Danio rerio: one gene and its partners. Each later gene encodes a partner of the first gene's protein in a complex. Links are inferred from orthologs where the notes say so. Each region holds a gene or a part of one and is shown on either strand. Other genes may lie near its edges.

Region 1 (4,233 bases):
TATTGTTTCTCAAATCTCATGTGAAATTATATTGTCCACAACCCAGTCCAACTGTAAATAGGCCAGTTGCTCAGAAACAAAGGAAGAACAAACAAGCATTCAGAACATGCCAGTATCCTACAGCTGTGCCCATGTTGTGTTCTGGCGTCATCTGCAGGAGATGTGAAGCATGACATGCTGGTTTTACGTTTTTTTACTTAAAGATAGCTTAGCTAGTAAAAATTGAAGAGCATTTCAAGTTCCGTTTATCATCAGATGAACAGAAATCGTCTGAATTAGCAGGTTCTGTAGTTTATTTTATTTTAAACGAATAACACTAAAAAACAGAAGTGGCAAACCTAACTAATAAGTAAAAAAAGCAGTCACTGAGGAATCAGGAGACCCCAATCTGATATTGATGAAACAGATTTGGCAATCAAATAGTCAATCAATAAACAAGGATTTACATCACATAAACCAATGGTGACATGGAAAATAAAATCCAAATTAATAGATGGAGAGAGTGCTAAATAAGGGTTATAAAAGGCAAAAAAGAGCACATATTTGGTGGGCTGGCCGCCCCCAAATCACAGAAGTCAGCCCCTGCTTTCCAGGAAGAGTCAGGGATGGTTTTACCCTATTCTTAATTACACAAAGGTTGCACAAAAAGTGTTTTTCTAATTTGCTTATTTTAGAAAAAAAATGTTCTAATATGTAGCAGCCAAATATAATAATATGTTAAGGTTTAAGACACATAGTTGAAAGGAACACTGAGCTAAACTCTCTAATCTTCCTTAAGACAGAAGACTACTAACTCACTGCATCTGACAACAGTGAATTTATCTGGATATCTGGGAGAAGGCAATTAGTTACATTTAAGTAGTTTTATATCATCAAAACATGATCTCTACATAAGAATATGTTTAACATTAAACATACGTTAGTGTATATGTTTTCAAACATGAGATAAAATTGAGATAATTGAAATAATTTAACTTTGAACACTGAGTTCATTTGAGGACAGATACTAGTCAGGATGGAGAAGTGATGTTGGCATGTGACACTTCAACTCAGTCACGCTCATGTGGTTTACCCACATACTGGCTGTTAACCGCAAAGGCTGAAGTGCATCTCATCTGCATCAGTGAAAAGCACAGATTACACTGAGCAGGAGCATGGCATGATGGGTACTTTTGTAAAAAAGAGTTTCATTCTTGTGCATCAACAGGATGTGGCTTTGCAAGTACTGCAGTATGTACAGAAATTAAATAAAAAATAGATGCTAAACTCTTTTGTATATTATTCAAAAAATTAAATTAATTATAAGACTGCAAGAGGTAAGATACTTTCCTTCTGTTTACGTGTAGCAATTAATTTAAGCATATACCTTAACTTCACATTTTGACCACTGTTGCCCTGGAAAAAAAGACAGTCTTTTGCGTATGGGCTGACTAAAAGTGGGGCATGTTGCCACATCATATTATATAATATTTTTTAATTACTCATCAAAAAAAATCCATCAATTTTACTCTTATCTAATTTTATCTACTTTTTAAATGATGGGTAAATAGCCATTTTATTAAGTGTAACAGATATATTTCTGCAAAAATGAAACAACACACTTATTTTCTGAACTGTCTTTTAAAAAAATAATGCAATAATTGATCGTACTAAATTTCATTATGTTTTTAATGATTAAATATTTCTTGCAGACAAATGGGGAAGGTGAAAGAAAACGACAACGTAAAGAGATGTAAAATTATCAATGTAACAATTACTAATATTACTGCAAAATCAATTTGAAGGCTAGTTTAGAACCATATTTATGAAATAAGTAGCTATACACATATCAAAAACTAGATTAAACAGACACTCAATTTGACATTTTACTCAAAACATATCAATTGTGACAACATACTCTCATTTTTTTTTTTAATAGTGCGCGATTTTACTGCAAAACCCAGTGTTACACATATCTTGTCATCCAGGTGAGGTCGCGATGGTCGCGATGTTGCATGCAAGCTTCTCCTTGATCATGGGGGGGCGCGCGCAACTGTAACATCAAAGGATGAAGACGCGCGGACCTTTCCATATTTTCCCTTATTTGGTGAGGAGGCCTAAATAAGATTACTAAGTGATGAAATCCTCCGCAGAGATTTAATGTCGTCAATGACAGCATAATATGCAGTATTAATTAAATACGTATACATTTTGGCATACAGACAAACCCAATAATGTCCATAAAAATGTATTTACGCCTACTGTATATTGTGTTATATAAAATATTGTTAGCTTGTTTTGTTTTATCTTAGTCTCATAGGTACTCAACAACAGGTTACTGGACTTAAAAGAGCCTACGCTGTACATGACATGCAGTTATTCAGCATATACTGCACGCGGAACACCCAAACCGCTACTTAAACATGCGCAGAACACAATACGTTATGTTTTGAAAGTTTGCGTCATTGTGATTTTTTAAATTTTTAACCCTTTTCAGTTTAGCTTTGACTGCAAAACCGAACAAAACGTAGGCTGCTCGTTACACCAGCACTTAATGCAAGACAAAACATGCCTCGCAGCTTTTAATAGAGGTTTGATTTGCAACTTTGATGAACAGACGTGAACTTACTTTTTGCTGCTTGTCTTGAAGTATACCTCTTACGTCGCTGTGTCTCTTCTGGGTTTGCGTGTGGCACGGGCAGCAGAGAGTGAACTTCACTGTCCCACAGAGCAGAAACCTCACTGCACGACCCTCCCGGACCGGACGAGTGTCCCTGGAGGAAAGGCTTGTTCGCTGAACTCGAGAAAAACACTAGAGACACCCCTTAGTCTTTTCTGCCTCCTTCTGTCCTCTGTGGTCTTAATGCGAGAACCTTAATTGGTAAAGTATCAAAGAGGGGGGTTTACTCTTCTGCTGGAGCTGACGTGATACCGGCGGCCGCGCCTTCGGATTGTAAAGGTATGATGTCACCCTGTTCTGTATCTGCTCCTCCATCTGCTGCTGCTGATGCCTGAACACGGCTGCTGCTCGACAAAGAGCTGCAGATATTAAACTAATAATATACATGCAATGTAGTTTTACATCGTCTAACAAAACAATTCCTACAGACTCTTTACTCTCTGTTGTCTTTTGTTTCTTTTTCCAGTTGCTTTTTTTCGTGAGTTGCGTTTTACTGTTTTACTTCCCAAAACCTGGGGAAGCTTTTCAAATGATGTTAGATTGAAACTTACAGCCTGTTTTCTGCCAGCTTGCCTATTGTTTAGATGGCAGCATTCAATGTTTTGGAATAACAGTGAATGCTGCCATCCAAACACACAGAGCAAGCAGACAGAGATGACTGAAAAGTGAACACTGGTGGCTTTCAAATAAACTCTGGCAGTATGACTGAACACAATACAGACCAAAGACATCTAAACAAACCAAAAGGATGCATAACAGGATGCAAGACGCAAATATAAAAAGAGAATGCTCATACTGTAAAACAATTATTGTTGCTTAAGCATATCAGAACTTTTAAAGTCATCTTAATTTTTCATCAGTCAAACTGTAGAATTAAAAATAGTTGAAACCCAGGGACGTTGCAACCAGGGGGACGGGAGGATACACCCCACTTACTTTTAGGGCCAGCTTTTGGATCTCATAAAACATTACTTTTTACAGTGTACCTGTTTTTTCATCATGATATTGAACAGCACAATATAATAAAGGTGTAGGAAATAGGGCTGCGCAATATATCGTTTCAGCATCAATATCGCAATGTGTGCATCCAGTCACATCGCAAGATATGCAATGTCTAGTCTGAATTATAGCTGACTATAGGAGCCAGAAAATTGTATTTAATTACTGTATTTATATGAAATTTGTATGATTTATGCACAAAAAATGTTTTTGTTAATTTTTTATCTTTTTACATTTCAGAGTGAAAACAAGATTATTTCACTTACCCCACTGGCAGATAATTTACCACAAAATAAAAAATAAAGTTCCACAAAAAATAAATTACCACAAATTTTCACTTATTTCTTCTGACGGTGAAAACTAAACATTTTGTTTTACTTGGTCTAAGAATTTTTTTGTGTTTTTGGACTAGAAACAAAGTAAGAAAAGCATTTTTTTGTTTTTTTTGTTTTGTGATTAATCAGTTTCTCACAGTATATCAGAATGCTGTTAGACTCCCAGAAAACCGTCAAATAAAGCTGTTCAAACCAACTTCTGAAACTGTATTCATTGCAATATTTATCGCAAAAAAATAA
Region 2 (3,658 bases), on another chromosome or scaffold:
TCCTTTCCAAAAGTTCACCGGGACCCTAAAGAAACACAGCGTCACATCTCCTTACACCGCACCGCACCGCACACATACAAACAACAAATGCATTCACACAGCTCTGTTCTCCAAGAGTGCTGAAAATGAATAGCCAAGTCACATTTACAATTGAAAACATCACCAAATGTAGTTCCAGTAATTTAGAGTTAATCATTGACCTCAGACTTCATTGGTCGTTAGTTTAATAAAACATGCAATTCTATTGGAATACACAAAAAACAGTCAACAAAGGGCAAAGCAATTAGTTGCCTTTCGAAAGTGAAAAGCAATGTGTTTGAGCCTCAGTATAATTCAATTTAAATGTTTTTTTTTCGTGTGTGAATGCTGAAGCGCACCTCATCCCATGAAGCAGTCACATCTTGAAGCTCCAGCTCTGTGATGCTGAGATCGTACTCCATTAACTTGTATTCTTCTTTACTAAGAAATTCCTTGAAGTAAAAGTTGAACAAGTTACAAATAGTCAATTTCAAGTCTCAATTGACATGTTTGTATTAAGTACACTGCACACTGGTGGTGGTGTGGAAAAACCCCCTCATGATTGTGAAGCGCTTTGGGTGTATGGCCATACACAATAAATGCGCTATATAAATACACATTACATTACATTACAAGTAAAAACTTGTATGAATGGTGAGTTTTGTGAATACGTGTTTATATAATATGTTATTACAGCCGCGTCATGTAGGGGGTGGGTCACTTAAGATACTATAGATCACTTGATTGGTCAGAAAATATGATAAGAAGCTGAAATAAAAAAACTGAAAGTTTTGAATGCTTAAATCCTCTAAATGAAATATTTATCTTTGTTTTGCAGTACACAGAACTATAGGTAAACTTTAATCTAACATTCTGATACTAACACCCCAAAAAAACTAATTTTGATTTCAGGGACACTTTAAAAACGGAACGGATTCTGTTTATCCTGGGTTTATACTGATTAAGGAATCATTAGTTTAAAGTCCTGTGAAGTACATTTATATAGTACATTTATTGAACATTTATACAGTGCATCTATGTATAACGTTATCTACCCAAAGCACACAAATGAATGAGGGGGAATTGTATCTCCACTAAATTACCAGTGTGCAGCATCCACTATGATGATTCAACAACCACAGGTGCGCTCACCACACAGCAACTGGTCCTCGGGGACATTTGTGATATTTAATAAACAGTTTGCATTCCTGCACATATTTTTTAGTTTTACTGAATAACTTCCATGTGTGAGCAAGTGTATAATAAAACACAAACTATGCTTCTAGTTTTATGGACACCTACAGTACAAAAGCCGATTTTACAAGCAACAAGTTTTGTGAACACTCACGCTGTCTGTTGGTGCTCTTGATTTGCTGGCTGAATACCTTATTTTGGAGCAAACAGGCATTCGCAATGGTATGAACCATTATAGGGGTGGTCAAATGTACATGTAAGTTATCTATTATTTTTAATTATTCATTCCTTTTCATTTTGGCTTAGTCCCTTTATTAATCTGGGGTCGTCACAGTGGAATGAACCGCCAACTTAATCATAATATGTTTTACACAGCGGATGCCATTCCAGCTGCAACCCATCACTGGGAAACATCCATACATACTCATTCACACACATTGAGAGGCTTGAAGCAGCAACCTTCTTGCTGTGAGGCGACAGCGCTACCCACTGCGCCACCGTGTTGCCCCATTTTTAATTATTATTATTTTTTATGATACAGATCAGAGGAAACTATTTATTAACTATTAATACCCCCCCCCCCCCCCCCCCCACACACACACACACCCCTATTGTAAATCTTGTTTTGATGTCCTTTTGGGGTAAATCAAGTGTTAATTACGGGGGTCAGATCCCCCAAACCCACCTGTAAATCGCACCCTGTTTACGCCCCTATACTTTATGAGAAGTGCCAATGGGATGTTTAATAACCACAGAGAGTCAGAACCTCTGTTTAATATCTTAGCCGAAACACAGTGTGTGATGCAGTGATGGGTCGTTCTTTAACGATTTGTTCATTTTAAACTAATCTTAAATGTGACTCGAGAGCAATGAGTCCTCTCAGGGAGTGATTCGTTCATTTGCAAGATTAGTTCCTTCAAATCTTCTATCAAGTTTGAGTCATTCGTTCATCATGAGAAAGACTGACATACAGCAAACCAATCATATGGAGAGGGATCTGGATGCAGACTGGGTGCAGTTGGAAGCTGAGCTGCATGCAATGGTTTTAATGTGCACACCTAACCCTACTCCTCACAGTGATGCCACTAGCTCCACTGAGTGTTTTGTGACTGACACTGCATTTCTGAGATATGCAGTCTCAGCTTGCAAATCCAAGTCTGCATCTAGATACTTTCAGAAAAAGAAACGATCCGTTTATCTCTCAAGTCCTCAGTTTGAGTCATTCGTCTCTTTACATGCTGTCATATGATGAACGAATGACTCAAAAATCTGAAGACTCAAAAGTGAACTAATCATTTCTATCGGCTATCGGCTAAGACTGTGTGCATCATTTAAGCTAACATGTGATTGTTTGTGCCACGTGAACAAACAACTCAAACTTGAAGACTTGTCAGAAGAGGCGAGCTGAGCTAATCATAGACAAAAGACCCAGGTAAACAATGAATAACTATTTTCTCAATCATGTCTGACTGTAATTTGTAGTGTGATTAGGGCTAGTTGTAGATGTGTTTGTAAGCTGTGCAACCTGTGACATTTTAATTTCGATCAGATTTTGGCAAAGTGAACTAAATATGTAAAATCACTCAAAAAAAAAACCTTTGTTCATCTCATTCATCTAAGTTGGTAAAATGAACTTCCCTTCACTAGTGTGATGTTATTTGAACCAAAATATGAAAAAAAAAAGGTTTTATTTATTTATATCACAGCTCTGCCAACAAATGTGCAACATAGCAAAAAGATCGTGAATGGGGCAAAAATGTCCAATACTAGAGAGTGTTTGATTGGTCAGAAGATTTGATGAGAAACTAAAGTATAAGGGGACGTCAAAAAATTGCTGATCCATTTAAGCGGAAGTGACAAACTGCAAACTTTGAATTGTTACATCTTCTAAATGTGAATTGTGTTGCTGTTTTGTAACACACTAGCTTATAGACATCCTTAAGACTAACATGCTGTTACTAACATTAAAACTCATTATTTTGTTTTCACAGGGACTTTAAAAGCTCTCAAAGCAAAAGAGCGTTTAGACTCACTTCAATCTTCCAGATGAGCCGCATGGTGTCGTACCACATCTGGATGGAGCCGGGCAGCTGTCGGGTGACTGTCATCCGCAGCACCATACAGTAGGAGAGAGTGGTGAAAATGCGGCGCAGGTTGATTCCCCGACTCAGAGCATGAGGCACCACTGCAGCCACAATCACAAAGATGGCCGAGAAAAAGTACGCCGAGCTGTAGAAGTAGCGCAGCGAGCCGATCTTCCTGGTCAGCTTCACCTCATCCCTACAAACAGTTTACGGGAAAAAAGAATGACAAGCTGAAGGGGATTGCCAGATGGGAAGGATATTTGGAGACTGTGTCATGAGATATCAAATAGCTAAAAACAACAGCACATTGATTCTCTGAGACTGAGCTGATAACAAAAACACAAAGGCACACCGTGTGCTGC
Region 3 (2,826 bases), on another chromosome or scaffold:
ACTAACATGAACAATGAACAATACATTTATTACAGTATATGTTTATGTTTGTTAATGTTAATGAAAATGCAGTTGTTCATTGTTCATGTTAACTCACAGTGCATTAACTAATATTAACAAGCATGAATTTTAATTTAAAGGCATTAGCATATGTTAAAGTATGATTAATTATATGCTGTATAACTATTGATCATATTAAGTTTATGTTAGTAAATACATTAACCAATATTAGCTAATGAAACCTTATAGTAAATTGTGAGTTTTTATACAACAATACCATTTATAGTGACAAAATTATAAAAGCTGCAATTTTTGGAGCTTTAAAGGGGTGGTCCACAGTGTATTTTTAAGGTTAGGTTGCGTTTGTAAGATACAAGGGTGTGGTCATGTTTCATTTGTGGAAAATCAAGTTTTTTCGTATATATTACTTTTATTATATTCAGCTACTCAGCTAACATGAAAATGACTGTCATATTTCCTAGTTCCTCTGAAAGCTCGCCCTCAAGAGGCTCTGATTGGTCAGTTAACATAATGTGCTGTGATTTATGGATACTGTCAGTCAGAGTAGCTGTTAGTCATATCAGTTTGCACCTAAATCTGACAGAAAATGACACAGAGAACACAGCTGAACCACACGCCGGCTCTCTTAAAAATAAATTGTGACAAGTGTTTTTTATATATATTTGGAATATAAGCATGTGTAAGTAATATGAAGCATTCACATATCTTTTGCAAGTTGGTTATTTGAGATGTAGAATGCACGGAAAGTGGCCGCATAGAGACAATGAGAAAGACAAAGATTATGGGTGTTTACTGGGGTTTGGCAGATAAATATAAATTTGTAGCTAAATTGTTAACACTACCAAACAGCATTTCCTGTTGTTTACATCCTTGGTTTTGTCATTGCTACAACATACCTTTAACAATATAAAGTATGCATGTAACAGATCAATTTTAACAAATAAAAATACTTACAGATTGTGGCTCACAATCCACACCTTCGTCTATTATGGTTAAAGCTGTTCCTTCATTGAGGAGTTTTAGCCGAATCCAGCACTGAACTAAGAGATATTCTGGAAGCTATCCTTTGTCAAATGCTACCTATATATATTTTTTATAATTCTTTAGAACATAATAAAAATGAAACTGTAAGCACTTCTCTTTTTGTGTCGTGTCCTTTGGAAGTCCAAATAAAGAAACAGAAGAAGCTCTGTGGAAACAGCAGCGTATGGACGGCATTTTAGCTTTCTCTGCTACATTACAGCACCTCTGGCCACGCCCCTTTGCTGCTCAGGTTGTATACACATGGTGAATGTGCGTAATCTGAAGCATTTGTAATCTCAATAGCCCGGATGTATTTTTTGTATTCCCCAAACTTTTTTCACTGTAGGCTTTGCTAAGTTAACTCTGTAAAAGCCAATGTCTCCCTTTGCATTGAACTTTGAGCGTCTTACATTCAGAGATGTTGTTTATGTTCACGCAGCTACATTACACATCAACTAAAGTTTAAAATATGATATCATAGTGGACCACCCCTGTAAAGCATAAATGACAACTGTTTGCAACAACTTGAGGTTGAGTAAATACTTACAAAATTATTACTGTGATCATTAATTTTGGTTAAATATTGCTTTCTAATTTGTATCATGTTTGAAACTGTAAACGAAAAACTTTCTACCTGTACATTTCTCGTTACAGAATGTCCCGAGGGGCCAAACATTATAGCAATTGTAGGAGGATCTCTGGCTGGAGTGGCATTGATTGGTCTCCTGATGCTCCTCATCATCAAGGGTGTTTTGTATGCAAGCGACCTTAGAGAATGGAGGAGATTTGAAAAAGACAGAAAACACGAAAAGACTTCTGTAAGTTCCATTTCCTCATATATAAAAGCTATTCTGTCAAACTCATGCATGGCATTTAATTAAGCAGATGATGTTTTCCTCTTTGCAAACAGGGTACCAACCCATTATTCCAGAATGCCACAACCACTGTTCAAAACCCTACATTTTCTGGAGATTCATGAGAAAATTTTTAACAGATAAAGTATTATGCAATTTAAGATGCTTTTTAACATTTAAAGTTTGTGTGTTTGTCAAATCGTTTACATTTTAGAAGCTCTCTGTAAGTTAATACTGTATGTTTCAGAGTCCATCTATATTCAAATGTATGGAAATGATGTGATTGTTATCTAATGCCTGTGTATTGCATTTTACAGATTCTCTGTTATGAAACAAGCACATAATTAACATATGTTGGCTTTCCACATGATTAAAATAATAGACTTGAGAACTGATCATTTGCTTAGCTTTGCATGTTAACCTGGTTGTTGTTCTTTCAATGTTAATAACATCTAAATTATGTGTTCATGTGTAACTTATGCCTGTCAAGAATAAGTGTTTGTATCAACACAGGCTTATTGGCAATATGTGCCCAGGGCTACATTTTTGAGAAACGGGAAATATGTGCCTGGGGGTACATATATGACTGCATTTTGTGTGTAAAAGGAATGGCTGGTGTGACTGGTACCACGGTACACTGTAAAACCCAACAATCAACTTTATCAAATGAAATGGGTGTAGTTAACTCAGAATTTACTTAAAGTTAATTATATTCATTTTAAAAGAGTTTTGAACTCAGTGTTGAAGTTAAGCAGTTAATTAAATACCTCATTACTTTAACTTAAATGGAGTAAGTTCACAGTACTCATATAGATTAGTTTAACTCAAATGGTTTGTAGCAATCAGTTTCCTCAAACGGTTTGAGTTGCCTAACTTATTGAGTTTTACAGTTCTCAGTTGGTTTGAGTTTTCTTCATTTATTGGGTTT

The links.
Region 2: the proteins of flna (region 1) and cftr are in contact, whole or in part, in a crystal structure (PDB 3ISW), measured with the Homo sapiens proteins. The link is inferred for Danio rerio from reciprocal best matches to the Homo sapiens genes FLNA and CFTR. Residues at the interface, in NP_001104026.1 of Homo sapiens: Thr2263, Gly2267, Ala2268, Gly2269, Gly2270, Leu2271, Ala2272, Ile2273, Ala2274, Val2275, Glu2276, Gly2277, Pro2278, Ser2279, Lys2280, Ala2281, Ile2283, Ser2284, Phe2285, Asp2287, Phe2311; in NP_000483.3 of Homo sapiens: Ser10, Val11, Val12, Ser13, Lys14, Leu15, Phe16, Phe17, Ser18, Trp19, Thr20.
Region 3: the proteins of flna (region 1) and itgb2 are in contact, whole or in part, in a crystal structure (PDB 2JF1), measured with the Homo sapiens proteins. The link is inferred for Danio rerio from reciprocal best matches to the Homo sapiens genes FLNA and ITGB2. Residues at the interface, in NP_001104026.1 of Homo sapiens: Val2241, Thr2263, Ala2266, Gly2267, Ala2268, Gly2269, Gly2270, Leu2271, Ala2272, Ile2273, Ala2274, Val2275, Glu2276, Gly2277, Pro2278, Ser2279, Lys2280, Ala2281, Ile2283, Phe2285, Phe2311; in NP_000202.3 of Homo sapiens: Leu753, Phe754, Lys755, Ser756, Ala757, Thr758, Thr759, Thr760, Val761, Met762, Asn763.

The regions. Positions count from the first base shown.
Region 1 is NC_133198.1:22,656,956-22,661,188, reverse strand, and holds the start of flna (filamin-A), read right to left. Parts: upstream 2,863-4,233; 5' UTR 2,609-2,862; intron 1-2,608. UniProt on the Homo sapiens protein: Promotes orthogonal branching of actin filaments and links actin filaments to membrane glycoproteins. Anchors various transmembrane proteins to the actin cytoskeleton and serves as a scaffold for a wide range of cytoplasmic signaling proteins.
Region 2 is NC_133193.1:22,075,780-22,079,437, reverse strand, and holds part of cftr (cystic fibrosis transmembrane conductance regulator), read right to left. Parts: intron 3,493-3,658; coding exon 3,246-3,492; intron 471-3,245; coding exon 378-470; intron 26-377; coding exon 1-25. UniProt on the Homo sapiens protein: Epithelial ion channel that plays an important role in the regulation of epithelial ion and water transport and fluid homeostasis. Mediates the transport of chloride ions across the cell membrane.
Region 3 is NC_133184.1:46,761,731-46,764,556, reverse strand, and holds the end of itgb2 (integrin beta-2), read left to right. Parts: intron 1-1,698; coding exon 1,699-1,862; intron 1,863-1,954; coding exon 1,955-2,023; 3' UTR 2,024-2,291; downstream 2,292-2,826.